Linked DNA regions of Oryctolagus cuniculus. The protein of the gene in region 1 interacts with the protein of each later gene in a pairwise test. Links are inferred from orthologs where the notes say so. Each region holds a gene or a part of one and is shown in the gene's direction. Other genes may lie near its edges.

Evidence for each region.
Region 2: the proteins of MAGED1 (region 1) and CA8 interact in binary tests that used the Homo sapiens proteins (3 or more experiments, as listed by UniProt). The two-hybrid records come from large-scale screens. The link is inferred for Oryctolagus cuniculus from reciprocal best matches to the Homo sapiens genes MAGED1 and CA8.
Region 3: the proteins of MAGED1 (region 1) and PRKAB2 interact in binary tests that used the Homo sapiens proteins (3 or more experiments, as listed by UniProt). The link is inferred for Oryctolagus cuniculus from reciprocal best matches to the Homo sapiens genes MAGED1 and PRKAB2.
Region 4: the proteins of MAGED1 (region 1) and SMAP2 interact in binary tests that used the Homo sapiens proteins (3 or more experiments, as listed by UniProt). The two-hybrid records come from large-scale screens. The link is inferred for Oryctolagus cuniculus from reciprocal best matches to the Homo sapiens genes MAGED1 and SMAP2.

What each region holds. Positions count from the first base shown.
Region 1 is NC_091453.1:36,322,809-36,328,676, forward strand, and holds part of MAGED1 (melanoma-associated antigen D1), read left to right. Parts: intron 1-1,437; exon of another isoform or gene 1,438-1,621; intron 1,622-1,817; exon of another isoform or gene 1,818-2,051; intron 2,052-2,618; coding exon 2,619-2,692; intron 2,693-3,373; coding exon 3,374-4,096; intron 4,097-4,753; coding exon 4,754-5,422; intron 5,423-5,532; coding exon 5,533-5,596; intron 5,597-5,868. UniProt on the Homo sapiens protein: Involved in the apoptotic response after nerve growth factor (NGF) binding in neuronal cells. Inhibits cell cycle progression, and facilitates NGFR-mediated apoptosis. May act as a regulator of the function of DLX family members.
Region 2 is NC_091437.1:85,550,985-85,556,852, reverse strand, and holds part of CA8 (carbonic anhydrase-related protein), read left to right. Parts: intron 1-2,894; coding exon 2,895-3,029; 3' UTR 3,030-3,064; intron 3,065-5,868. UniProt on the Homo sapiens protein: Does not have a carbonic anhydrase catalytic activity.
Region 3 is NC_091438.1:50,122,126-50,127,993, forward strand, and holds part of PRKAB2 (5'-AMP-activated protein kinase subunit beta-2), read left to right. Parts: intron 1-17; coding exon 18-184; intron 185-994; coding exon 995-1,088; intron 1,089-1,319; coding exon 1,320-1,440; intron 1,441-4,652; coding exon 4,653-4,786; intron 4,787-5,429; coding exon 5,430-5,498; intron 5,499-5,868. UniProt on the Homo sapiens protein: Non-catalytic subunit of AMP-activated protein kinase (AMPK), an energy sensor protein kinase that plays a key role in regulating cellular energy metabolism.
Region 4 is NC_091438.1:132,487,936-132,493,803, reverse strand, and holds part of SMAP2 (stromal membrane-associated protein 2), read left to right. Parts: intron 1-2,702; coding exon 2,703-2,836; intron 2,837-4,059; coding exon 4,060-4,145; intron 4,146-5,123; coding exon 5,124-5,202; intron 5,203-5,868.

The sequences.
Region 1 (5,868 bases):
GGGCCAGTCAGGACTGGAGATGGAGCTATGGAAGCAGATAGCAACAACATGGTGTTTCAGACCGCCTTTCCTGAGTCTGATCACGTCCCACTGCAGACACTTTACAGAGGAAGTGCTGAGGAAAAACAGGCAGCTGACAGGGGAGGTTGCTATGCAACAGATGAGGAAAGTCATCCAGCCAAGCAGAACTGATGTTGGCCCTTGGGGACCAAGTGCTGCAGTCCTTCCTGGTATTAGCTTCCTTTCATATGCAGGCTCCTGGCAGGACCTCATATAAGAAGGAATGCGAAATGCACAAAGATCTGCTTTGAGTTTTTGGAAAAGTATCAGTTTAGTTTGAGCCTCCTCACATCTGTATATGATTTTCTGACTTTTTTTTTTTTAGTTTCTCCAATTCTGGAAGCAGTGGAGCATGTGTGCCCTTGGGTAGGACACACATACTATGCTTTCTGTTCTGCATATTGAGAAAACAAGCTCAGAGAGATCGAGTGTCTTGAGTGAGCTCACGCTAGTGACACACAGGCTGGGCACTCTGTTCTTGGGATTTTGAAATCAGTCCAGCCTCTTTCCTCAATACCACAGTTGCTCCAGATCCCAAACCTCAGCCAAGGAAGGAAGTAGGGCAAACATTGACTCTGAACCAGAGTTTGCCATGGTTCAGACACACAAGTGCCTGGTTGTCTTGGCCATTTAAACAGGCACCAAGAAAATCTTGGGGACAACATCATTGTGTCACTCAGAGGAAAGAGTCCTGTGTGACATTGGGAGCTGAGAGTGGGCCCCGAGGAACAATTCCTTGGGCTGGGGGCTTTATCCTGTGCCCTCCTGAATGCAGAACATGAGCTTAGGCCTCCTAGAAAACAAAGTTTGCTTTTTTGGGACAGATGTTAGGGTTAGGGGAGGCCAGGGGCTGAAGTGGAGGAATGAAAAGTGCATAATTTGGGCTTTGGAGTTATGAAAGCCCAGGCCCAAAGTTTGCATTTTCTGTTTTCTGGTGCCTCTCTGGCCTTCTCTAGTTTGAGCAATGTATCTGCACCTCAACTTCTTGGTCTTTGAAATGGGGGTGCTGACACGCACCTTCTAGGGCTGCTCTAAGAAGAAAATAAGCCTCAGCATAGATCTTGCTGTGATGTAAGTGGGTTCTGCAATAAAGTTCATGGGAATGCAAAGTATGGGAAACCTGCATGTATTTCAAAAAATACGTTGGCACCAAAATAAGCTTATCTTTCAATTTTGTTTGTTACGAACTTTTTGGAAGTCGCCTTGTACAAGCTGTGTCCTTCTCTCCCACAATGCACACAACATGATTACATTGACTGGAGCTTCAGAAAAGGGCTGCAGGCAAGGAGCTAATCTGAGTCTGGAAGCCAGTGAGGGGTGCATGTGGTCACGTGGCAGGCACAGACTCCAATAGTGTGTATTTTCTGGCCATTTCCTTCCCTGGGTTGCAAAGCAGATGAGTTCAGCAGGGGCCTAGCACTTGTTGCAATTAGAGATTCTCCACAGACACTTCCTTAATAGTGACCTAAACTGTGCTGGGAAGGGGGTGGAACTGCAGGCCGACCTGATGGGAGGTGCCTTGAATAGAGGAGGGATTGAACAGAGACGCATTGCGGAAAAGGTAGGGGGCCGGTGTACGGGGCAAGGGGTGGGACCAAGAGGCATGGCGCTTCTGTTGGGGGAGGGGATGTGGAGGAAGAGGAGGAACCGTTGTATACTGTCGACCTGGTTGGTGGTGGGATGGTGTGTTGGCAAAGGGGGCGGGGCCGCGTTCCAATGCGCATGTGTGTCCTGCTCTCCCGGACGAAGCTTTTGTTGGGAAAGTGGGCGGGTTTGTAGTTGGTCGCCCAGTCGTGGCGCATGCGCGTAACCTCCTGAGGTAGTGGGTGGTATATTAGGCGAAGAGGCGGGGTCGCCCAAGCTGCCGCGCTGGCATTTTCTCCTAGACAAGGAGAGAGTGCGGCTGCTGAGAGCCAAGCGCAGCAATCCTGATCCTCTCAGTCGTGAAGAAGGGAGGCAACGAGGGGGTTGGGGTTGGGGCCTGAGGCAAGGTGAGAGCTAGCTCCCAGAGAGGGCGTCTGTCCCCCGGTGCGGGTCTCTCCCCCATTTATCCCCATCCCTTAACCCCGTGTTTCTGAATCCCCCCTTCCACTGCCGGAACCCCGATTTACACCCCCCACCCGATCCTTTCTGATTCAGAGCCGCTGTGTGCTCTCTGAACCCTTGACCAATTCCTCTCAGAGGTCCTCACAGAGTCCTTAACGATTTCTTGACTGACCCGTACTGTTCGGAGATTCTTCCTGACTGAAAAATCTCCATTCAACTTCCCGAACGCGAATCCCACCACGCCCCACCCTCGGGTTCAGAACTCTGATCTGTCTCCCGAGCCCTGATTTGAAGCTTTTGCCCTGTTAGTTGCTTCTCGGAATTCAGAATCTCCATCTGGACGCCCGTTCACGTGTCCCGCTCCGCTCTGGTCCGTTCCTCCTCAGACCCAGCACCTCAGCCACTTCACAACCAAACGGCACACCCCTGCCCCCTCCCCTTCCGCTCCGATCTGGCTCTTCGTATTTTGCCCTGTGTAGTATAACGCCCAGCTCCTTTCCCTCAACCCCCAGGCTCTGCTCTTGCCAGAGGGACAGGAGCCATGGCTCAGAAAATGGACTGTGGTGCAGGCCTCCTCGGCTTCCAGGTGAGATCTCCGCTCCTCACCCCAGCATTTCCCCTCCGACACTCCCCTCCCCCCCAGCCCCTTTCATCAGCCCAACACCTGGATCTGATTTGGCCCTCTTCCGTGCCTAGACTTTGCCATTTTTCAAATTTGCGGCATTTATCTAAGGGGAAAGAAGCATCCCTTTTCAGCCATCAGTCCCTGCTTAGAGAAAGGGGAGACCCTGTTAGTAGTCGGGGCAATCTGCCCAGAGAATGCGGGCTGGGTAAAGGAACCATTTTCTTTTCCATAGGCCTGGAGTGCAGAGCAGTCTGTCACCCCCTCCCCCAGCCTCCCACCTCCACCCTCCCTCTGTCCCGCATTCCTGACTTGCTGCGACCCCCCCCCCTTACTCTCCTCAACTCCTTGCTCCGCCTCCTAAACTGAGCTCCTGCTGCACTCCCTACCAGCTCCGCTCCAACCCCACTGATTCAGACCTTGCTTGCTTTTGTGCCCACTCCTCACATTGCTCTAATTGTCATTTTGCCCCTGCCCTGCACCAGTCCACCACATGTTTTGTACTCACGCTGCCTCCCTTTGCCCACTGCCTGCTCCCTGGGTTCCTGCCATAGCCCTGTTTTTGCAACAACCATCCTCCTGCACCTTCCCAGCTGTTCCCAACCTGAGCCCCAGAGATTAAATTTGTTTTTCCTGTGTTTGCAGACGGAGGCCTCTGTAGAAGACAGCACTTTGCTTATGCAGACCTTGATGGAGGCGATCCAGATCTCAGAGGCTCCACCTACCAACCAGGCCACAGCAGCTGCCAGCGGGCCAAATGCTAGTCCCCAGAGTTCACAGCCCCCTACTGCCAATGAGATCGCTGATATTCAGGTCTCAGCAGCTGCTGCTAGGCCTAAGACAGCCTTTAAAGTGCAGAGTGCCACCCCAAAGGGCCCAAGTGGTGTCTATGATTTCTCTCAGACACATAATGCCAAGGAGATGCCCAGTGCTCAGCCTAAGGCAGCCTTTAAGTCCCAGAATGGCACCCCAAAGGGCCCAAATGCTGCTTATGACTTTTCCCAGGCAGCGGCCACTGGGGAGTTAGCTGCTAACAAGTCTGAGATGGCCTTTAAGGCCCAGAATGCCACTACTAAGGTAGGCCCAAATGCTACTTACAATTTCTCTCAGTCTTTCAATGTCAATGAGATGGCCAATAACCGACCTAAGACAGCCTTCAAGGCTTGGAATGATACTACTAAGGTCCCAACAGCTGACAGCCAGACCCAGAATGTAAACCAGGCCAAAATGGCCAATTCCCAGGCAGACATAGAGACCAACCCAGGTATCACTGAATCTGATGGTGCAGCTGCACAGACATCAGCAGATGGACCCCAGGCTCAGAATCTGGAGTCCCGGACTATAATACGGGGCAAGAGGACCCGCAAGGTGAGATCCCCACTAGCGTCACTTTGCTTTGGGCTCTCTCCTTTCTTCTCTGAAATTGTTCACTTGTTCTAAAATATATATATATATATTTATCAATAGATATAGATCTGCCTTGTTTAGCTAAGCTGTAGATAATGTTGAAGTGAATTTTTTTTCTGTCCTCTGAGTGTCCATAGACTGATGGGGAGTTAACATATGGAAGCAAATATCAAACTTGTATGTAATTCAGTTTACATTTGGATAGTAACCACCATGTATCAAATCTTGAGCTAGTTCACACAAGTTATCTTATTAAATTTTGAAGTCAGCTCTTACCAGTTGGGGACCATAGTCTTAGTTTTACAAAGAAGGAAACTCAGTCCCAGAGAAGTGAAGTGACTTGAGTGATTTGTTCAGGGTGGTACAAGCAGAGCGAGTGGTGGACATAGGAAGAGAAGAAGCCTCAGGCCCCACCCCTGGGTTGCTCCTGGCCTGGTTCGGAGATGCAACTCCTGCTTGGAAGACAGTGAAAGACAAGCCCAGGACTCAGGGTGACCAGTGGCTAGTGGGTCAGGCTGTCGTTACAGGTGAGGGTTTAGGGGGATTTCCTGAAATAGATAGGGTGAGGACACAGAATCAATTTGTGACCCTGGACTTTCCTTCTCTCTGATAATGCAGATTAATAACTTGAATGTGGAAGAAAACAGCAGTGGCGATCAGAGACGGGCCCCGCTGTCTGCAGGGACCTGGAGGTCTGCACCGGTTCCAGTAACCACTCAGAACCCACCTGGCGCACCACCCAATGTGCTCTGGCAGACCCCACTGGCTTGGCAGAACCCATCAGGCTGGCAAAACCAGACAACCAGGCAGACCGCACCAGCACGTCAGAGCCCCCCAGCTAGGCAGACCCCACCAGCCTGGCAGAGTCCAGTTGCTTGGCAGAACCCGGTGATCTGGCCAAACCCAGTGATCTGGCAGAATCCTGTGATCTGGCCGAACCCCATTGTCTGGCCTGGCCCAGTTGTCTGGCCAAACCCACTGGCCTGGCAGAATCCACCTGGATGGCAGACCCCACCTGGATGGCAGACCTCACCGGGATGGCAGGGCCCTCCAGACTGGCAAGGCCCTCCTGACTGGCCACTGCCTCCCGATTGGCCACTTCCCACCGATTGGCCTCTCCCACCTGACTGGCCACTTCCACCTGACTGGATCCCTGCTGATTGGCCAATTCCTCCTGACTGGCAGAACCTGAGACCCTCGCCTAACCTGCGCCCCTCTCCCAACTCGCGTGCCTCACAGAACCCGGGTGCCTCCCAGCCCCGTGATGTGGCCCTTCTTCAGGAAAGAGTAAGAGCTCTTCCTCCCCACTCACTTCTTTCTTTTACTCTTTGTCATCTTCCCATCTATAATTCAACCGGGTTTTCTTCAAATGTAACTAGTGATTTCTTTTCTCCCAGGCAAATAAATTGGTCAAGTACTTGATGCTCAAAGACTACACAAAGGTGCCCATCAAGCGCTCAGGTAGGCTTGTTGTCCCCCTCACACTGAGCTCTGCCCTTCCTTTCACCCGATGCTCTATGGCAGGGGTGAGGAACGTCCAGCCCATGGGCCATATAAAGCTTGAGAGATCATTTGATCTGACCCTGCCAAGGCAATCACAGGTGGAACTCAAAATTCAATAAGTCTATAGCAGGCCAATTTTTAGGTTGATAATTCTGTATGGCCTGCGAATGATGTGATAGATATACAAATGACCCTTGGCAGAAAAATGGTTCCCCACCCCTGCTTCTTGG
Region 2 (5,868 bases), on another chromosome or scaffold:
TCATTCTTGTGAATTTGTTTTTATCATCTCTGTTGTACACAAGTAGGAACCAAGACTTATATAGATGACTTTCCTTTGTCATTTGGGTTTAGGATTCACTGACTGCATTCACCATCATATTCTTCCTTTCACTTAACATTTAGGGAAGTCTTTAAGGTGAAAGCAAATGATTTATAGGGAATTTTCATGCATCCTCAGCTCTGGGAATTTTCCCGATGCAGCAAGCAGTAGATGCTTTTCATTTTTGTACTCTAAGACCCTAAGGAGGTCTAGTGAAAGACCCTCATGAATATTAAACACCTAATTACTTATTGGAGTGACACTGCTATATAAATACACCATGTATGTATTATTTGAAAAAATAAGGCAATATCACTTGGGTCACACTTAAGTCATTTAAGGACATTAAACAATATTTGGGGACATGGAAAGTAAAACATTAGAAGTCTGTTTTCTAACTTGAGTTTGAATCTAACAAGCCATTTAGTTTTTTCCCAGCTCTGTCCCAAGATGAATGGAGCGGATTGAGTTAGAAACTTGTGAGATTCAATTTTTGCAATCTGGAGTCTCTCCTCGGGAAAAATACATATGTAAAATTTGCCTATCATTCAGGGGTTTCATGGGCCTCTTAAAGTCTCTTGTTGTTTCTAGACTTTTATCAGAATCCTTGCATTAGTTAATCTGTTGCATTTCATTTCTTTTTATGAACAGCAGACTCTTATGGCCGTGTTGTCTTAAGAACCTTTGTAGATACAGTCCTTTGATACAGAGATGATGAAATTTGGAGGATTGATGCTATCCAGATCACATTGGCTCAATGCACTAGGATAATTGCAGAATATAGGTTACAGTGTTTTGAGTGGAAATTTCTAAAGTGGTGACTGTAGAGCTGGGAAAACAGCAGGTGGATTTGTAACTGTAGGCTTCTGCCACTGACTAACATGGCAACTTTCTTAACCTTTCTAGCCTCAGTTTCCGCTTCTGTGTAAGGAATGGCCGTGTCCTGTTACTATGTGGTATTTTAATGAAGTAACAATCAGCCCTGAAGGTAAATCAGCTAATAGATGAGAATGTGCCTGGGTAATGTTCATCATGTTTTCTTGGTGTTTAAAAACCTCTCAGAGTAACTCTGGCAGGAGCTCTTGATGAGGCAGGTCACTTGGGACTCTGGGAACTTTGTCACATGAAATGGTGAAGCTGTGAGACCTGGAGAAACAACTTGAGAAAGGGAGATGAACATTGCTATTGCTAAGAGATGAAACTGGCTTAAATTTTTGGAAAATCAAAGGTATTTGAACCAGTGTTCTCCAAAGAGTTAGATGAACAGCAAAGACAATCTGTTGATGAAGGAATCTGCTAATTCATTGGTATAGTTTGAATATGATTTGGTTTCAGAACTCCTGAAGGTGTTCAACCCCCAAAGTTGTAAGATAGTGGTACTAAGAGGGTGGATATTTGTCTGGTTATGGTGTTTAGGATGTGGGGGCCTGCCAAAGGTTTGTTTTTTTTTTTTTTTTTTTTTTTTTTTTTTTTTTTTTTTTTTTTTTGACAGGCAGAGTGGACAGTGAGAGAGAAAGAGAGACAGAGAGAAAGGTCTTCCTTAGTCGTTGGTTCACCCTCCAATGGCCGCCGCGGCCGGCGCACCGCACTGATCCAAAGCCAGGAGCCAGGTACTTCTCCTGGTCTCCCATGGGGTGCAGGGCCCAAGCACTTGGGCCATCCTCCACTGCCTTCCTGGGCCACAGCAGAGAGCTGGCCTGGAAGAGGGGCAACCGGGACAGAATCCGGCGCCCCGACCGGGACTAGAACCCGGTGTGCCGGCGCCGCAAGGCGGAGGATTAGCCTAGTGAGCTGCGGCGCCGGCCCAAAGGGTCTTTAGTTTGCTGGGGCTTGCCCTGGATTGGTCATTCTGGAGAAAGGAGTGGTTATAAAGCCTGAGAAGGGCTCAGTCTTTTCCTCTGCTTCCTGGCTCACTGTGTGCTCCTTCACATGTGCTCTGTCATCGCCATCTGCTGTCTTCTTCAGAGGCCACATCAGTGAGGCCATCTTGTCTCAGTCTTAGATCTGCCAGACTATGAGCTAAGTAGCTTTTCTTTTCTTCACTAGTAGATGTTCTCATGTATCTCATTGTAATAATAACGAAAAGCTAATACATTCACCTAATAAGTCTCACATCTAATCAAAGTTAACATCCAGTACCATCAGAATCTGCAAATTTAACATAGAAATGGGAAGCATTTAAGAATATTTATTCACTTATTTACTCTTTCTCATTGTGCTGTACACAGGCACAAAAGTATTTTGAAAGAGTTGTGTATCATTTTCACATTAACAAATACAGCATGTTTTTGTGACTGTTTGAGTAGTCTGGAGAACTTGATATCTCCTCTCTGCTGACTTCTCTTCAAAGGATCTTGTCTAATGTCTTAGGTCTATAAAAACTAAGTCTGGTTTTCTTTCTTTGAATTTCAATTTGCATTTCTCTTTTTCTAGTTGGATTTTAGGCATTTATTTATTTTAAAGATTTATTTATTTATTTGAAAGAGCCATAGAAAGGGAGGGAGGGAGGGAGGGAGGGAGGGAGAGAGAGAGAGAGAGAGAGAGAGAGAGAGAGAGAGATTCCATCCTCTGATTCACTCTCCAGATGGATGCAAGCCAGGAGCCAGGAGCTTTTTGCAGGTCTCCCACATGGGTAACAAGGGCTCCAAGACTTGGCCCTCTTCCTCTGCTTTTCCCAGGCTATTAACAGGGAGCTGGATTAGAAGTGGAGCATCTGGGACACCACTGGCACCCATGTGGGATGCTGGCCTTGCAGGTGAAGCCACATATGAAACCATAAGTCTTGTTAATGTCTGGTATGTAGGTAATCTATTTTGTTTTGTTCTCATTTTCAGATAGAAGAATTTCGAAGGCTGCGGACTCATGTTAAAGGTGCAGAACTTGTGGAAGGCTGTGATGGGATTTTGGGAGACAATTTTCGACCCACTCAGCCACTTAGCGACAGAGTCATTAGAGCTGCATTTCAGTAGCCAGAGAGAAGAGGAAAAAGTCCATCTTCATCAGGGTATGTACAGGCCAAGTAAAGAAAACATGGCACACAGTTTGCCACACTGAGCATGCGGGAGTCACTCTTGTGGTCACCTTGCTAACTTACCAATGCAACAATTACACTTCATTTTGATAAGACATTACAAAGCCTCACTGAGTGTAAGTCAGATGATTATTTTAATTTCCTGTAGTGTTAAAATAATCTAGTATTCTACTGTTTTCCCACCAGAGCAGCCTTTAAGTCCAAGTTTTCCTTTAATATTTGCTTTCATAAAGAAAGACTTTCTGAGACAGAGAAATGGTGCTAGGTCAGAGTCTCTGGTAATTTATGCCGTTGCCTTGTTAAGGCTACAACTGTCAGTTCCCACCAGCCAGGAGCACATGTGAAGAAGGGGCCTGTTGAATCTCTTGTCATACATGGATTTGATTATCTTGTTTATTGGGGTAGATGAGAGAAGATGCTGGCATAAATCGAAATCCTTGACCTATAAAAATATTTTTATTTGCTAGATAAAGAAGTACATATTAGCTATCTGAATATGATATTCTTATTGATAGAAACATAAGCTATATTTTAATGTATTGAATTCAATGTATATATTGCTACCCTTAAAGAGCCAACAAAATAAAACATCACAAACATGGGAAAGATGAAATGTATAAAATGACTACATATTAAATTATTTCTTTACTTTGTAAATTGTCTAATAGTGCAAAGGACTCTGAGAACACATTGAGAGCCAACCTTTGCTTCCCATAAGGGGAAAGAACATGATGGATGATTTTCTAAGGGAACAGAAAAGAGCTGTGGCTGTTTATTGCACTACTGGGAGTAATGTGAGTGCCACTGTGGACTAGGGAGTCTTAGAGATATAAAAATCTCTAGCATCAAGGGGCTCACCATCTGATGAACTAGATGAGTCACATAGGATTTTTTTAAAACACAATTTTATTTGTTATTTGAAAGAGTGACAGAGAGGAAGAGACTGAAAAGATAAATCTTTTGTCTACTGATTAATTCCCACAACAGCCAGGATTGGCCAGACTGAAGCCAGGAGCCAGGAGCCAGGAACTTCATCCTGGTCTCTGGTGTGGGTGGCAGAAACACAGGTATTTAGACCATCATCTGCTGCCTCTCAGGTGTATTGGCAGGCAGCTGGATTGGAAGTGGAGCACCTGGGATTCAAACTGGCATTTTGATAAGGTATGTGGGTACCCCAAATAGATGCTTAACCTGCTGTGCCACAACACCTGTCCTGATATAGGAATTTTTAAAATATACACTCAAAAATATATGATTACAGAGGCCGGCACTTTGGCTCACTTGGTTAATCCTCTGCCTGCGGTGCCAGAATCCCATAGGGGTGCCAGGTTCTAGTCCCTGTTGCTCCTCTTCCAGTCCTGCTCTCTGCTGTGGTCTGGGAGGGTAGTGGAGGATGGCCCAAGTGCTTGGGTCCCTGCATCTGCATGGGAGACCAGGAGGAGGCACCTGGCTCCTGGCTTCAGATAGATGTAGCTCCGGCTGTAGTGGCCATTTGGGGAGAGAACCAATGGAAGGAAGACCTTTCTCTCTGTCTCTCTCTCTCACTGTCTAACTCTGTCAAAAAAAAAATACAATTACAATTGGTCATTTTCCCAATGTGTTTCCTAATCCTTTTTCTTGCCTAGGTAGAGATGTCAGTTTCTCTGTGACTTCTGTGTCCACAGTGCCACTCACATGGTGTGTTACCATGTTATATGAAGGCTCTTCAAAATTTTCATAAGAAATGTGTTTTATGAAAAAATTGTGCATGGATTTGAAAAATTTTTTGCACCAAGATAAATTTACCTTTTAATTCTATTTTCCATGAACTATTTTAAAGCATCCTTATAGGGACCCTGTACTCCAGCCAAACTCCCTTTCATCTTCTGTGAATTTTATCTTCTCTCCTTTCTCAGTACTTCTTGGCCTTCCTTTGGCTGTTGAAATCCTAGCTATAATATAGCTCAAATATAGCTCGCTCCATGGGTCTCTGCTTCTCCCTTAAACTGTACCTTTCATTACACTTTCTTTATTTCACCTAACTGCTTTTTACTTTTTGCTATCATATTCCAAGCTTCTTAATAGTTGTCATGTTTATTTTATGTTTTTTTCATTATTATATCATCTTTTTATTTCTCATCCTCTCACTTTCCTTCTGCTATTCTTTAACCACTCCTCTTTCACCTTCTTCACTCTTTTTTAAAGCTTTTATTTAATGAATATAATTTTCATAGGTACTTTAGGAATATAGTGGTTTTATTCCCCATACCCATCCTTCCTCCCCTACTCACATCCCACCTCCTACTCCCTCTCCCAACCCATTCTTCTCTAAGATTCATTTTTAGTTAACTTTATATACAGAAGACCAACTCTATATCAAGTAAAGATTTCAACAGTTCACTCACATACACACACACAAGGTAAAAAGTACTGTTTGAGAACAAGTTTTGTAGTTAATTCTCATAGTACAACTCATTAAGGGGTGAGGTGGCACATGGGGAGTAAGTGCACAGTGACTTCTGTTGTTAACAATTAACACTCTTTTTTATGACCTCAGTGATCACCCGAGACTCTTGACATGCGCTGCCAAGGCTGTGGAAGCTTTTTGTGACCACAAACTCTGTCAGTATTTAGACAAGGCCATAGACAAAGTGGAAGTTCTCTCCTCCCTTCAGAGAAAAGTATATCCTCCTTTGATGGCCCCTTCTTTCCAATGGGGTCTCATTCACAGAGATCCTTCACCTTGTGCCTTGAATGTCTTCCTCAGAATGAGACATGTAATATATCAGCCAGCCTCA
Region 3 (5,868 bases), on another chromosome or scaffold:
TGTGGTGCTTGTTGCAGCTCCCTGGGGACAAAGAGTTTGTCTCATGGCAGCAGGACTTGGAGGACTCCGTGAAGCCGGCGCAGCAGGCCCGGCCCACCGTGATCCGCTGGTCGGAGGGAGGCAAGGAGGTCTTCATCTCTGGGTCCTTCAACAATTGGAGCGCCAAGATTCCACTGATAAAGAGGTGAACGCACGTGTCTTGGCTGCGCCTTCGGGGTCCGGGGTAGAGACCTGATTTCCTTTCTTCCAAGAGAGGTGGGCTGGCCTGCTCTTCTCCAGCTCCTGGGGCCTGTCTCTGAAGCATGCCCTTGGCTGTGAGCATTTGCTCTGCACATGGCGTTTTGCTTCAACCTCACAGTGCGTGAGAGAGACTTTCCCACTTAGAACATCACCATCTCAGACCAGCTATGTGGGTTCCTTCTTTAGGGCCGAGTTACACAAGCCCTTCCTGTGCTTGTGGGAAGCCTTCTGTAACCGGCTCTGTCCTGTTGCTCTGTCTATTGCACTAAAGCAAAACACACTGTAAAGTTCTAGATAGTATAAGCATGTGTTAATTGCAAAGCAATAATGAACTATTTACCTGTCAAAATCGCCCTTAATATAATAGTCATTTTCTGGAAAAGGCTGACCAAAACATGGAAAGCACACCCTGAGTCCCTTCTGTATCCTGAACCAGCCGTTACCTTCTTCACACGTGAGGAATCCATTATGCTGACACGATGTAGTTGTACTGGGATGAATCATTTTGGGAGAACGGTGTCTTTAGTATTCTTTTGCAGATATTGGTTAAGAACTTAAGTTATTGGCAGGGGTTGGCAAATACATGTCCAAGGTGACATAGAAAGAGAGAATGAGTTTATAAATTACTTTTTATGCCAGACAATACAGTGGCTTAGAAATAAGGGAGGCTGTGGCCCTGATACTGTGAATGCCACTTGCTTTTACATTCTGCCTTCCAAAAGGAATTGGCCTGACGTTCTGTTTCCTTTGGCAGCCATAATGACTTTGTTGCCATCCTGGACCTCCCTGAGGGAGAGCACCAATACAAGTTCTTTGTGGACGGACAGTGGGTTCACGACCCATCCGAGGTAAGGCCTGGATCTCCAGGGGTGGCCGTGGGTGCAGCATTCTCATTTTAGCTGTCGTCACTGTCAGGATGGACAGGCCACAGCTCCCCTGCACTGCAGGATCTCTCTCCATAAAAGATGGGGGTCCGAGTATGTTCACTGGCAACTCTTTTAGAAAAAGAGAAAGGAAAGATTGGGTGGAAGAGAGATTTGAAAAGGGGATTGAGTGATTCGTTCTATTCACTGTTTCAGCCCGTGGTTACCAGTCAGCTTGGCACGATTAACAATTTGATCCATGTCAAGAAGTCGGATTTTGAAGTGTTTGATGCCTTAAAGCTAGATTCCATGGAAAGCTCTGAGACGTCTTGTCGAGGTAATTTTGTAGTGTAAGCTCTTTCTGGCTATATTGTCTTGTAATTCATGTTCTTTCCCATAGCAGTTTTGTATTTTGTTCTGTTTTTCCACTTCTCCTCAGGAATCTTCTGAACCGTGTGTGTGTGTTTGTATCCTGTATCTATAGGTATACATAGCCCCCAAAAGAGCGTTTTGCTAACTATATTCGCAGTTACGGTTTTGTTTCTCTGCGGTAAAGGCTATGACTGTCCAAACAACTGTGCACTGTATTCCCAGGGAGCACACTTCCCTCTCGTGAGTTCAAAGCCTGCCTCTGGTATTAACTAGTTTTACCATCTCAGACAAGTCCCTGGACCTTTTTGGTTCTCAGTTCCTTAACAGTAAGAGGCAGGTGCATAGACTGCCACTGATGCTCAGCAGTCACCACACCTGAAGTGCATATTAGGATCTCAGATCATAATATCTAAAGGAATAGTCAGTAGTACAATCATTATCTGTAGAAGAGAATTTGGAACTATTGTTGTTATCAAAAAAGCTCAAAAAGTTGGGGCAATGATTTAAAAGGGTTTAAAAATATTGAGTTAGATTATGAGGCTACTTGTGACTACATTTTACCTTATATGATCTTGGCAAAGCAACCAATGAAAAATAGATATATAATTACAGAGAGAGAGGACTACCATACTATTGCTGGTTCTCTCTTCCCTCTTTCACCCAGTATCTGGTCCACTGAGGTAAGACTTCGAATGTATTTTTTTAGGAATCTGCAGGTAAAGATTTCATCTGTACTCATTTACCATATAGTTTGTGTTGTGACTTTGGGTAAATCACTTAACCAATTTGTATTTTATTTTTCTGATGAAAAAGAAATAAAAACTGTTCTAGGTACTGCCCAATGATGTTTTGTGGATCATGTGACAAAATAACTGAAAGTATTTTAGAAAATTTCAAATTCTATATGTTTTTAAGATATTGCTTAATATCATAGTGTTATTACCATTTTTTTTGCCTTAGCTTCATATGTATTTAACTCCTACCTGAGTACTTGTAATTAACTTGTCATTAAAATATTTTTCACTGGGGACTATGAGATCATAAATTTTTAAAATAAGAAATATAGATATTTTCATTTCTGTATATTTCCTTCAACTCTTGTGTGCTTTTCTTTTCCATTTGAGATATGCTAGAGTATGTCCCAAAGTTTGTGATAAAAATGAAATGAAGAGATGTTTATTTTGATGCAAAAAATTTGAAATCCATATATAGTTTTTTCATAATATGATTTTCCATGAACTCTTAAAAATTCCATTTACTTGTTTTATTTATTTGTGGGGCAGAGAGAGCCAGACAGACAAGAGCTTTCCCATTTAGTTCACTCTCCAACTGCCTGCAACAGCCAGGACTGGCCGGGCCAAAGCCAGGAGCCGTGAACTCACTCCGGGTGTCCTGCCTTAGTGACAGGGACCCAACTACTTCAGCCTTCGCCGTTGTCTTCCAGGGTGTGCATAGCAGGAAGGTGGCATCAGGGGCTGGAACTGGGACGCAAAGCCAGGCACTCTGATACGCAATGTGGCATCCCAAGCAGTGTCCTAACTGCCGTGCCTAACAATGTCCCATCCGTGAACTTCTTGAAGACTACTCAGATGCATGGTTTTTAAATTTTTTGGCACTAAAATAAACTTGTAATTCCACAAACTTTTTGAAGTACTCCCTTTTGAAATGTACAATTCAGTAATATTTTTATATTGTTGCAGTTTTGCTACCATCACTGCTGTCTAATTCCAGAGTATTTTTATCACTCCATAAAAGAAACCTCACACCCATTAGCAGTCATTTCCTGTTCCCACCTCCCCTCCACTACTAGTAACCACAAATATACTTTCTGTCTTTATGCGTTTATCTGTTTTGGATATTTCATACAAATGGATTCATACAATATGCAGTCTTTTTTTTTTTTTTTCCAAAAAAAAAGCTTTATTTATTTGAAACAGTGATAGAGAGAGCTTCCATCTGCTGCTTTACTTCCCAAATGGCCACACAGTTGGAGTTGGGCCTGGCGGAAGCCAGGAGCCTAGAACTCCATCTGAGTCTCCCATGTGGGTGGCAGAGGCCCAAGCACTTAGGCTATCTTCCATGCCTTCCCAGGCACAGTAGCAGAGAGCTGGATCAGAAGTGGAGCAACTGGGATCGAACTAATGCTCTGATATTGTTGCAACCAACTTAGCTCACTGTGCCAAAATGCTCGTCCCAGAATGTGGTCTTCCCTGTCTGACACTTTTCACTTAGCATGATATTTTTGGGGTTTATCCATGTTGGAACATGTGTCCATACTTTACTGCTATTAAAGTTGAATCAAATTCCATTCCATGGTCATCACATTTTGGTGTCCATTCATTAGTTGATAGACATTTGGATTATTTTTTTGCTTTTTAGCTTTTATAGATGATGCTGTTACGAACATTCATGTACAGATTTTTTGTGTAAACATGTTTTCACTTTTCTGTGCAGAACTGGGTCATGTAGTAACTTTATATTCAGCTTTCTGAGCAGCTGGCAGTGGGAATAGCGTGAAGCTTCCAGTTTCTCCACATCTTTGCCAACACTTATTTTTTTTATCATAACCATCCTTGTGAATATTCAAAGTATCGTGTGTTTTTGATTTGCATTTCCTAATGACTGCTTCATATGTTTGATCTTTATTACTGAGATCATTGTAGCATCAGGTAGTCTTTAAAGAGTTTATAACCTTGTTTTCGTTTGCTTGGGTGGGCAAGAGAAGTCTGATCATTTCATACTGCTTGGAAATTTACAAAACTTTTTCATGTCCATTATCTCATTTGATTTCAGGAAAAGCATTGTGAAATAAGGCAAAGATTTTAAAAATTGTGATGGCTGTGGAAACCAGCCATAGTGAAGGGGTTTGTCGAAAGTCACACAGCTAATAAGTGGAGCAGCTCTTCCCCGAGCCTAGCTCATTGACTCGTCGTCTTCTGCTCCCTGTGCCCTGTTGTCGCCTAGAGGAACCTCATGTTCTCCTCATGTTCTGTGTCCAGGATGACTCAGGCTTTCCCTTTGGCTGCCTTACAGTTGCAGACTCAACAGGTCACAAACTCATGATCCGTGACTGTTACTGAATTTTTAATATTAGCTACCATGCATTGATGGCTTTTTTTCCCATGCATTGTTACAAATCCTCTGTCCTCCTCTCATATTTATATAAATATGTTTCAGACCTTTCCAGCTCACCCCCAGGGCCTTATGGTCAAGAAATGTATGTGTTTCGATCTGAAGAGAGATTCAAATCGCCACCCATACTTCCTCCTCACCTTCTCCAAGTTATTCTTAACAAGGACACTAATATTTCTGTGAGTATCCAGAGAGCATTGCTGGAGCATGTGGGGGTCTCTAGGACCATTTGGGTCAAAAGTTATTAACCCTAGAAGTTAGGATTGTTACAAAGGGGTATTGAGGTTATAAATCATGTGTATCTCAATAGTGTTGTAGGCTCAATTCTGACTTTTTCATGTCCTGGTATAAAAGTGAATCATTGTTTGCTGGTCCTAGCAAAATCAGGACTAGAGAGTTATGTGTTGCTAGAATTTCAGGACTTCTGTTCCAACACAAGATAAAAAGTACTTATCAATTTTTTGCATATACTTTACATCATTATTCAGTGTACCTGGTTTCCACTAAGGTTATTTTTGCATGTCAACATAAATTTGCCATATGTGTTGTGAACAAGATTTTTGTTTTAGCTCTATTAAGGAAGATTAGTAGATGTTGAGGTCTAAAATTTCTACCTGGGACTGGGAATTTTCCTTAATGGCAATGTATTACTGATACGTTCTGGGGTGTGTTATTATTTAAAGGAGATAGTGTGTTCTAGCTTAGAGTTCTCAGCGGTTCCAGGGAAGAATACAGGGATAGAAGAATCAGAGGAACAGAGGACGAGTGAGGTGTTTGGGTTGTCTGCATTTAACTCCACGTAGTGATGTTTTTCTGTCTTAGTGTGACCCAGCTTTGCTCCCTGAGCCCAACCACGTTATGCTGAACCACCTCTATGCATTGTCCATTAAGGTAAGTAGTGGCCCTGGCTCTTTTTTTTTTTTTTTTTTTTCCAAAGATTTTATTTGAGAGTTAGAGTTACAGAGAGAAGTTGAGACAGGGAGAGAGGTCTTCCTTCTGCTGGTTCACTCCCTAAATGACCGAAATGGCTGGAGCTGGGCCAATCCAAAGCTAGGAGCCAGGAGCTTCTTCCGGGCCTCCCATGCAGGAGCAGAGACCCAAGGCCTTGGGCGATCTTCTAGTACTATCCCAGGCCCTAGCAGAGAGCTGGATCAGAAATGGGACAGCTGGGATTAGAACTCACGCCCACGCAGGATGCCAGTGCTGCAGGCGGAGGATGAACCTACTGCGCCACAGCGCCGGTTCCTGGCCCTGGCTCCTA
Region 4 (5,868 bases), on another chromosome or scaffold:
CGCATTTTCAGCTATAGAAGGAACTTTTTGTCTCTTGTCTTTTTCTTTTCTTCAATTTCAGAATTGATAGGCACATATAGTCATTGACTGATAAGTCCAGTGGCTCAGAACTCTTAAGAGAATGAGCCTCTGGGATAGAGCGGTCACTGTTTCCTGGGGAGAACGTTGTGTGTTGTAGGAGGGGTGGCAGGTGGGGGCGGTGGTGGCAGGCGGGGACCAGAGGAGGCTCTCCCCTGGCTTTTCAGGAACATATGGTTACCCCTGTTTCTGGGCTGGGCCTCATCAGTGGCTTCAGGGCATCAAGTCTTACTCTTGCTTCCTCAAAGCAAGACCTGGGGACCACAGTTCTCACTGTGTTTGAATGATTGAGAACTGCCGTCCTCACGGGAAGAAGGGCCAGGAAGCAAACAGGGTAACCTTTCAAGGTGACGTAAAATAATAATTATATATATATATACTTTCCATTATTTGAAAAGCAGAGAGAGAGATCTTCCGCCTGCTGATTCATTCCCCAAATAACCTGCAGCAGTAACCATGCTGAAGCCAGGAGACTGAAACCCAAGCTGGGTTTCCCACGTGGGTGGCAGAGACCCAAGTACTTGAGCCATCAGGGAATTAGAAGCAGAGCTAATACCTGAACCCAGGTGCCTGCTGGCATCCCAAGCAGGGGCCAAACACTTGCCTCCACAGCTTTTTTTTTTTTTTTAAAGATTTGTTTATTTATCTATTTGAAAGGCAGAGTTACAGAAGGGCAGAGGCAGAGAGAGAGGTCTTCCATCTGCTGGTTCACTCCCCAAATAGCTGCAATGGCTAGAGCTGGCTGATCTGAAGCCAGGAGCCAGGAGCTTATTCTAGGTCTCCCATGTGGGTGCAGGGGCCCAAGCAGTTGGGCCATCTTCTGCTGCTTTCCCAGGCCACAGCAGAGAGCTGGATTGGAAGTAGAGCATCTCGGTCTTGAACTAGCACTGCAGGTGGTGGCTTTACTTGCTAGAGCACAGCGCCAGGCCCGATGCCTCCACAGCTTTTAATGAGATTTTGGTTTCTGATTTTGTTAGCAAGCAAATACATTTGAAGTATCTTATCATGAGTTCTAAACTCCACAACCCTTGGGCAAAGGAAAGATGCTAAAGAAACATGAAAATCTTACCTTTGGTCGTATTTTTAATCTTGTTGCTCAGATCTTATCGGAGTTCCTTTATGAACACTGTATACTCCACCACATGAAACAACTTCGTGAATCATTTGTGTGTTTATTAGCTGTATGGCAGACCAGTGATGCAAATCCAACTAAGCATTTGAAGGGACTGCAGATCTTTTCAGAAGATAAATCTGAGCCTTTCAAGATAATAGTAATAAGAAGGCATTGGGATAAAATTTCAGGCAGAGAATACCACCTAATGGTGATAAGGAGGAGGTGAGCCCTCTGTATCTAGTAACTGCCATTGTAAATGAATGATATCATCAGAAAATTGTGTTATTTATAATAGTTGTGAATTCAAGTTTCTAAGAATATATATTTTTTTGCCACATGATTCTAGCATTCTTCCATTAAAACGTCTCCAAAACCTGTGGGCTAACGAAATAATTGCCTGTGTCCCTCAGAACTGAAGTCTTGTGCCTGTTGCTTCAAACGTGGGTCTGGTTTATCTCTGTAGAAAATCAGTTAGTGTCTTCTCACTGCTTTACTGCAACCTCTAATTCTGATGTGGAATGATAGAGAAGGAAGTATTTCTGATATTTCAGTCTTTGGAAGGTGTCATGTAAAAGCAAGTCAGTTTTCCTAGTTAACAATTATGAAGAGGAGTTTGATAGTTTTCTAGCATGCTTATGAGAGTGAGAAAAGTTGGCAGAGATGGGAAAGAGTTAAAACCTCTCTGAGATGTCTCTTTGCTGCAATAAGCATCTTTATTTATTATTGTTATTTTGGGGAGGGCAGTTGAGTCTAGATAATTCTGTAGTTGAGTAAAGTAGGGACATCAGCCCGAGCGGATCCTATTAAGTCAATGTGGATGCATATTTTATAAGCCTGGAGGGGAAGCGAGGATAAACAACGTTTTTAATTTCAGGTTGAGTCCTGGGCTCGCATCCACATCTGTATCTTTTTTCCTAGTAGGAACACTGAATCTAGGCCTCACCACCATTGCAAAGTTTCATGGAGGAGGACTCTCCATGTAAGGTGCTAGGCTAAATAGGATATGATGTAACTTTGGGAGTTTTCTTTATATGTGACAAAATATTCTAACATCTGCATTTCAGCACTCAACAGTAGCTGTAAAAAACTGCTCTAAGCACACTTACCCACATATTGTATAATTCCACTTGAATTAAATGTCCAGAATTGGCAAATCCATTGGAAAGTAGATTTGTGGTTAACCGGGTTGAAAGGAAGGGATTGGGAGGAAATGGAAAGTGCCTGCTAATGGGTTTGGGATTTCTTTTGGGGTGATTAAAATCTTCTGGAATTAGATAGTGGTGATCCTTGTACAACTATATGAGTATGTACTATACTCTCAAAAAAATTAAAACTGAAAAAACCCTTGGTCCATGGAGGAATGAACAAAGTCAATAAAAAAGTGACTGTGGTCAAAATTCTTTCACTTGCATTCCAGTAGAAATGTTGAATCATAATCTAACGATCACAGCTTGGCCCTAAATGTTGTTGTAATTTATATATTTTATCGCCCTGTTCCTGACCTTCGCAGGGCCACGATGGGCCTCCTGGAACATTGGTGTCTTCATCTGCATTCGCTGTGCTGGAATCCACAGGAACCTGGGGGTGCACATATCCAGGGTAAAATCAGTAAACCTCGACCAGTGGACTCAAGAACAGATTCAGGTACTTACGCAGTCCGAGAGTCAGCCACTCCCCTATATCCACGTAAAAAGTTCTGGAGGAATTTCAGTTCCTGGGCACAAAAGGGAAGATAAAAGAGAATTTAGTTGTTAAACACTTACATGAAATTCTTGCATCTTTAAGAGACATTTTATATCTTTCTGTTTAAGACACAAGATATTCTATCCGTATTTTACCTGCTTCAAAACACAAATCAACTGTGGTCTAGGACCCCATGTACCCATGGCGATATTAGGAGGAATCTTTGGTCTATTTTCTAATACCCTCGGCATTTACAGATCTAACATTTGTAGTTTTAGGTACTTACTTAAAAATAATCTCCAAATCATAGACTTAGGGTAATACAGCTAAAATGCATGCATGAATATTGCTTGCTGTCAGCAAGGTGAGCTGGGAGTGGGACATTTCTGTTCCTGAGTCTGCCTGGCCTAAGCCTCGGTGCAGCTTCGCTATTCTTTATTCTCTTGTTACACTGAACAATACTGAAATACCTTCATTTAAAAAAGTGTGTTTTTCTTTGTTGGGAGGAGGAAGGGAAGTCCCAGAGAAAACCAGTTGCTAAAGTTGGTGATAGAAATAAGAGGTTATTCTTAATCAGAAAATGGCTTTAGAAATTGTTTGAGACTCTCAAGATTCATTAAAGGTCTAAAAGGCAGAAGTACATTTCACAGTTGTAGTTTATCCTACAAAGGAAATGACATGCCATGGACGTTTTGGGAATATGAAGATCTAAAAAGCTCTTGGGGTTTATTTCTCACAAGTGTTAAGGGGGCTATTTCAAAAACTTAATGGGAAACATAACGTTTATTGGTAATAAAATGGAATAGGTTAATTAGTAGTGAAAACTTAGAGTTGTAACACTGATTATTGCCTCCCAGGGAGACATTTTGGTTGGTAGCTATATATGTTGGACATCCAAATAAGATCTTGAATTGTTACTGACTTAAATTCTATCTTGGCAGACAAATCTTTGAATAAAAGTAACCCGTGGACAGGGAGAAAAGATAGTTACTGGGGCAAATGAATGTGAGTTCCTGGTAGGGTAGAGAGAATCATAGACTGGAAATAAGAATGCACAAATTAAAATCTTGGTTCTTCCACTCTCTGGGTTGGTTCTTCGGTGTACATGGGTGGAGCTGGGTGAGACGTTTTCCAGTTCTTTGCTGCTCTGACATTCCATGTTTCTACGTTCTCTTTGATCGCAGTGCATGCAAGAGATGGGGAATGGAAAGGCAAACCGCCTTTATGAAGCCTACCTTCCTGAGACATTTCGGCGACCACAGATAGACCCGTATCTTTTCTGGAGCAACCTAAAAGGCAGAGTGGTATTTTGGTGTTTGGAGTCAGACCAGATTCAAGTCTGTGATCTGACTGGGCTGTCTCTGTGTTGAGTAGTCCGAGTTCTTGCTTTTCCTCTCTCCTGCAACCATGACATATAAAAAGCACATGTATACTTGCTAACCTCAGAATTACCGTGTAGTCTCATGGCGGGAGGACTCACTCGGGCATCAGGATGCCACGATTTCACTGTGAACCCTTCCATAATGCAACATCTCCATTAGTGTTTGGATCTCTGAAACTATTGTTGGATAAAAAAGAATAGTTTACTGGTGCTCTGTTCAACTCTTGCAGTCAGCAAAACTGCCATTCGTTTTATTGCCTTTGTGTGGCCTGTGTAAAACAATTCACTATTGGTAACCAGTTTATCAGTAACTTTCTCTTTCTCTGCACCTGATAGACAAAACCAAAACCCCTAAAGGTTTTGTGCATTTCAAGATGTAACTTGTAGACCATCTTGTTAAGAGTTTTGCTTTTCGGTGGGTTCAGGTGGAACCTGTTAAATACAGAGTTGAATCCCTGCAGAAGACCCCATGATCAGAATCTGGCAGTGGGCTCAAGAGTTTATCTTTTTAAGGGGCATTCAAATGCCTTTGTTTGAGATCTTTTGACCTAAAGAGTTTTAAAATAGATCACTGCCTGTGTTCCCTGTGTTCTGGAAGTCGTACACACCTCTGATGTCCATAAAGGTGAATCCCACTCGTTGCTGCTGGCACCCTAGATGGAAATCCTAGGAAGTCATTCTCCGCAGTAACCTTGAAGGAGGCAGCTTGAGGTTTTGGTCAGGGAAACTGCAAATGGAGAGACAGCAGCCAAGGGGGGAACCAGGCAGGAAGGAAGAAGAACAAAGCTCCGTGGAATACAAATTGGCTTTTTGTATTCTTACTGTTGGAGAGGCTTGTTTGATTCATCCTTAATAAGCTTCTGGCAGAGCTGTCGAGGGATTTATCCGAGATAAATACGAGAAGAAGAAATACATGGACCGGAGTCTGGATATCAATGCCTTTAGGGTTGGTTGCAAACCTTTCAAGGGTTGTTCAGAATAACTACTTTGTTTATTACTTACATCATGGAAAAGTTTGAAAAACTGCTACCAAAAATACTCCAAACTAATCTTTAAAAGGCCAAAGTAGGAAAAAGCAGTTGTTGTATTGAGGCCAGGAGAGTATGGGCTTTTAGCCCAGTGGTTAAGATGCTAGTTAGGATACCCATGCTCCACATCTGAGTGTTGGAGTTCAGCACTTGGCTCCAGCCATGACACCAGCTTCTTGCTAGTGCAGACGCCGGGAGGTAGCAGTGATGGCTCAAGTGATTGGGTTCCAGCTACCCATGTGGGAGAATTAGATTGAGTTCCTGGTTCCTGGCTTTGGCCCAGCGCAGGCCATTGTGGGCATTTGGGCAGTGAACCAGCAAACGGAAGCTCCCTCTTTATCTGACTCTGTCTGCCTTTCAAATACATACATACATACATACATGCATGTATTTTTAAAAAAAAGACCATCAGATATCATGGAAGAGACTTTTGCCTCAGGGATGGGCAGGGCAAGCCACCAGTGAATTCTTTGGCTTGGTCTGAAGAGGTAAGTGATTCCCAGTGCTGTGTTGTTTCTTCACATGGGCACATTGGTTATGGTAGATGTATGTGCATGTGTGTGTTGATACACACGCTTATTTTT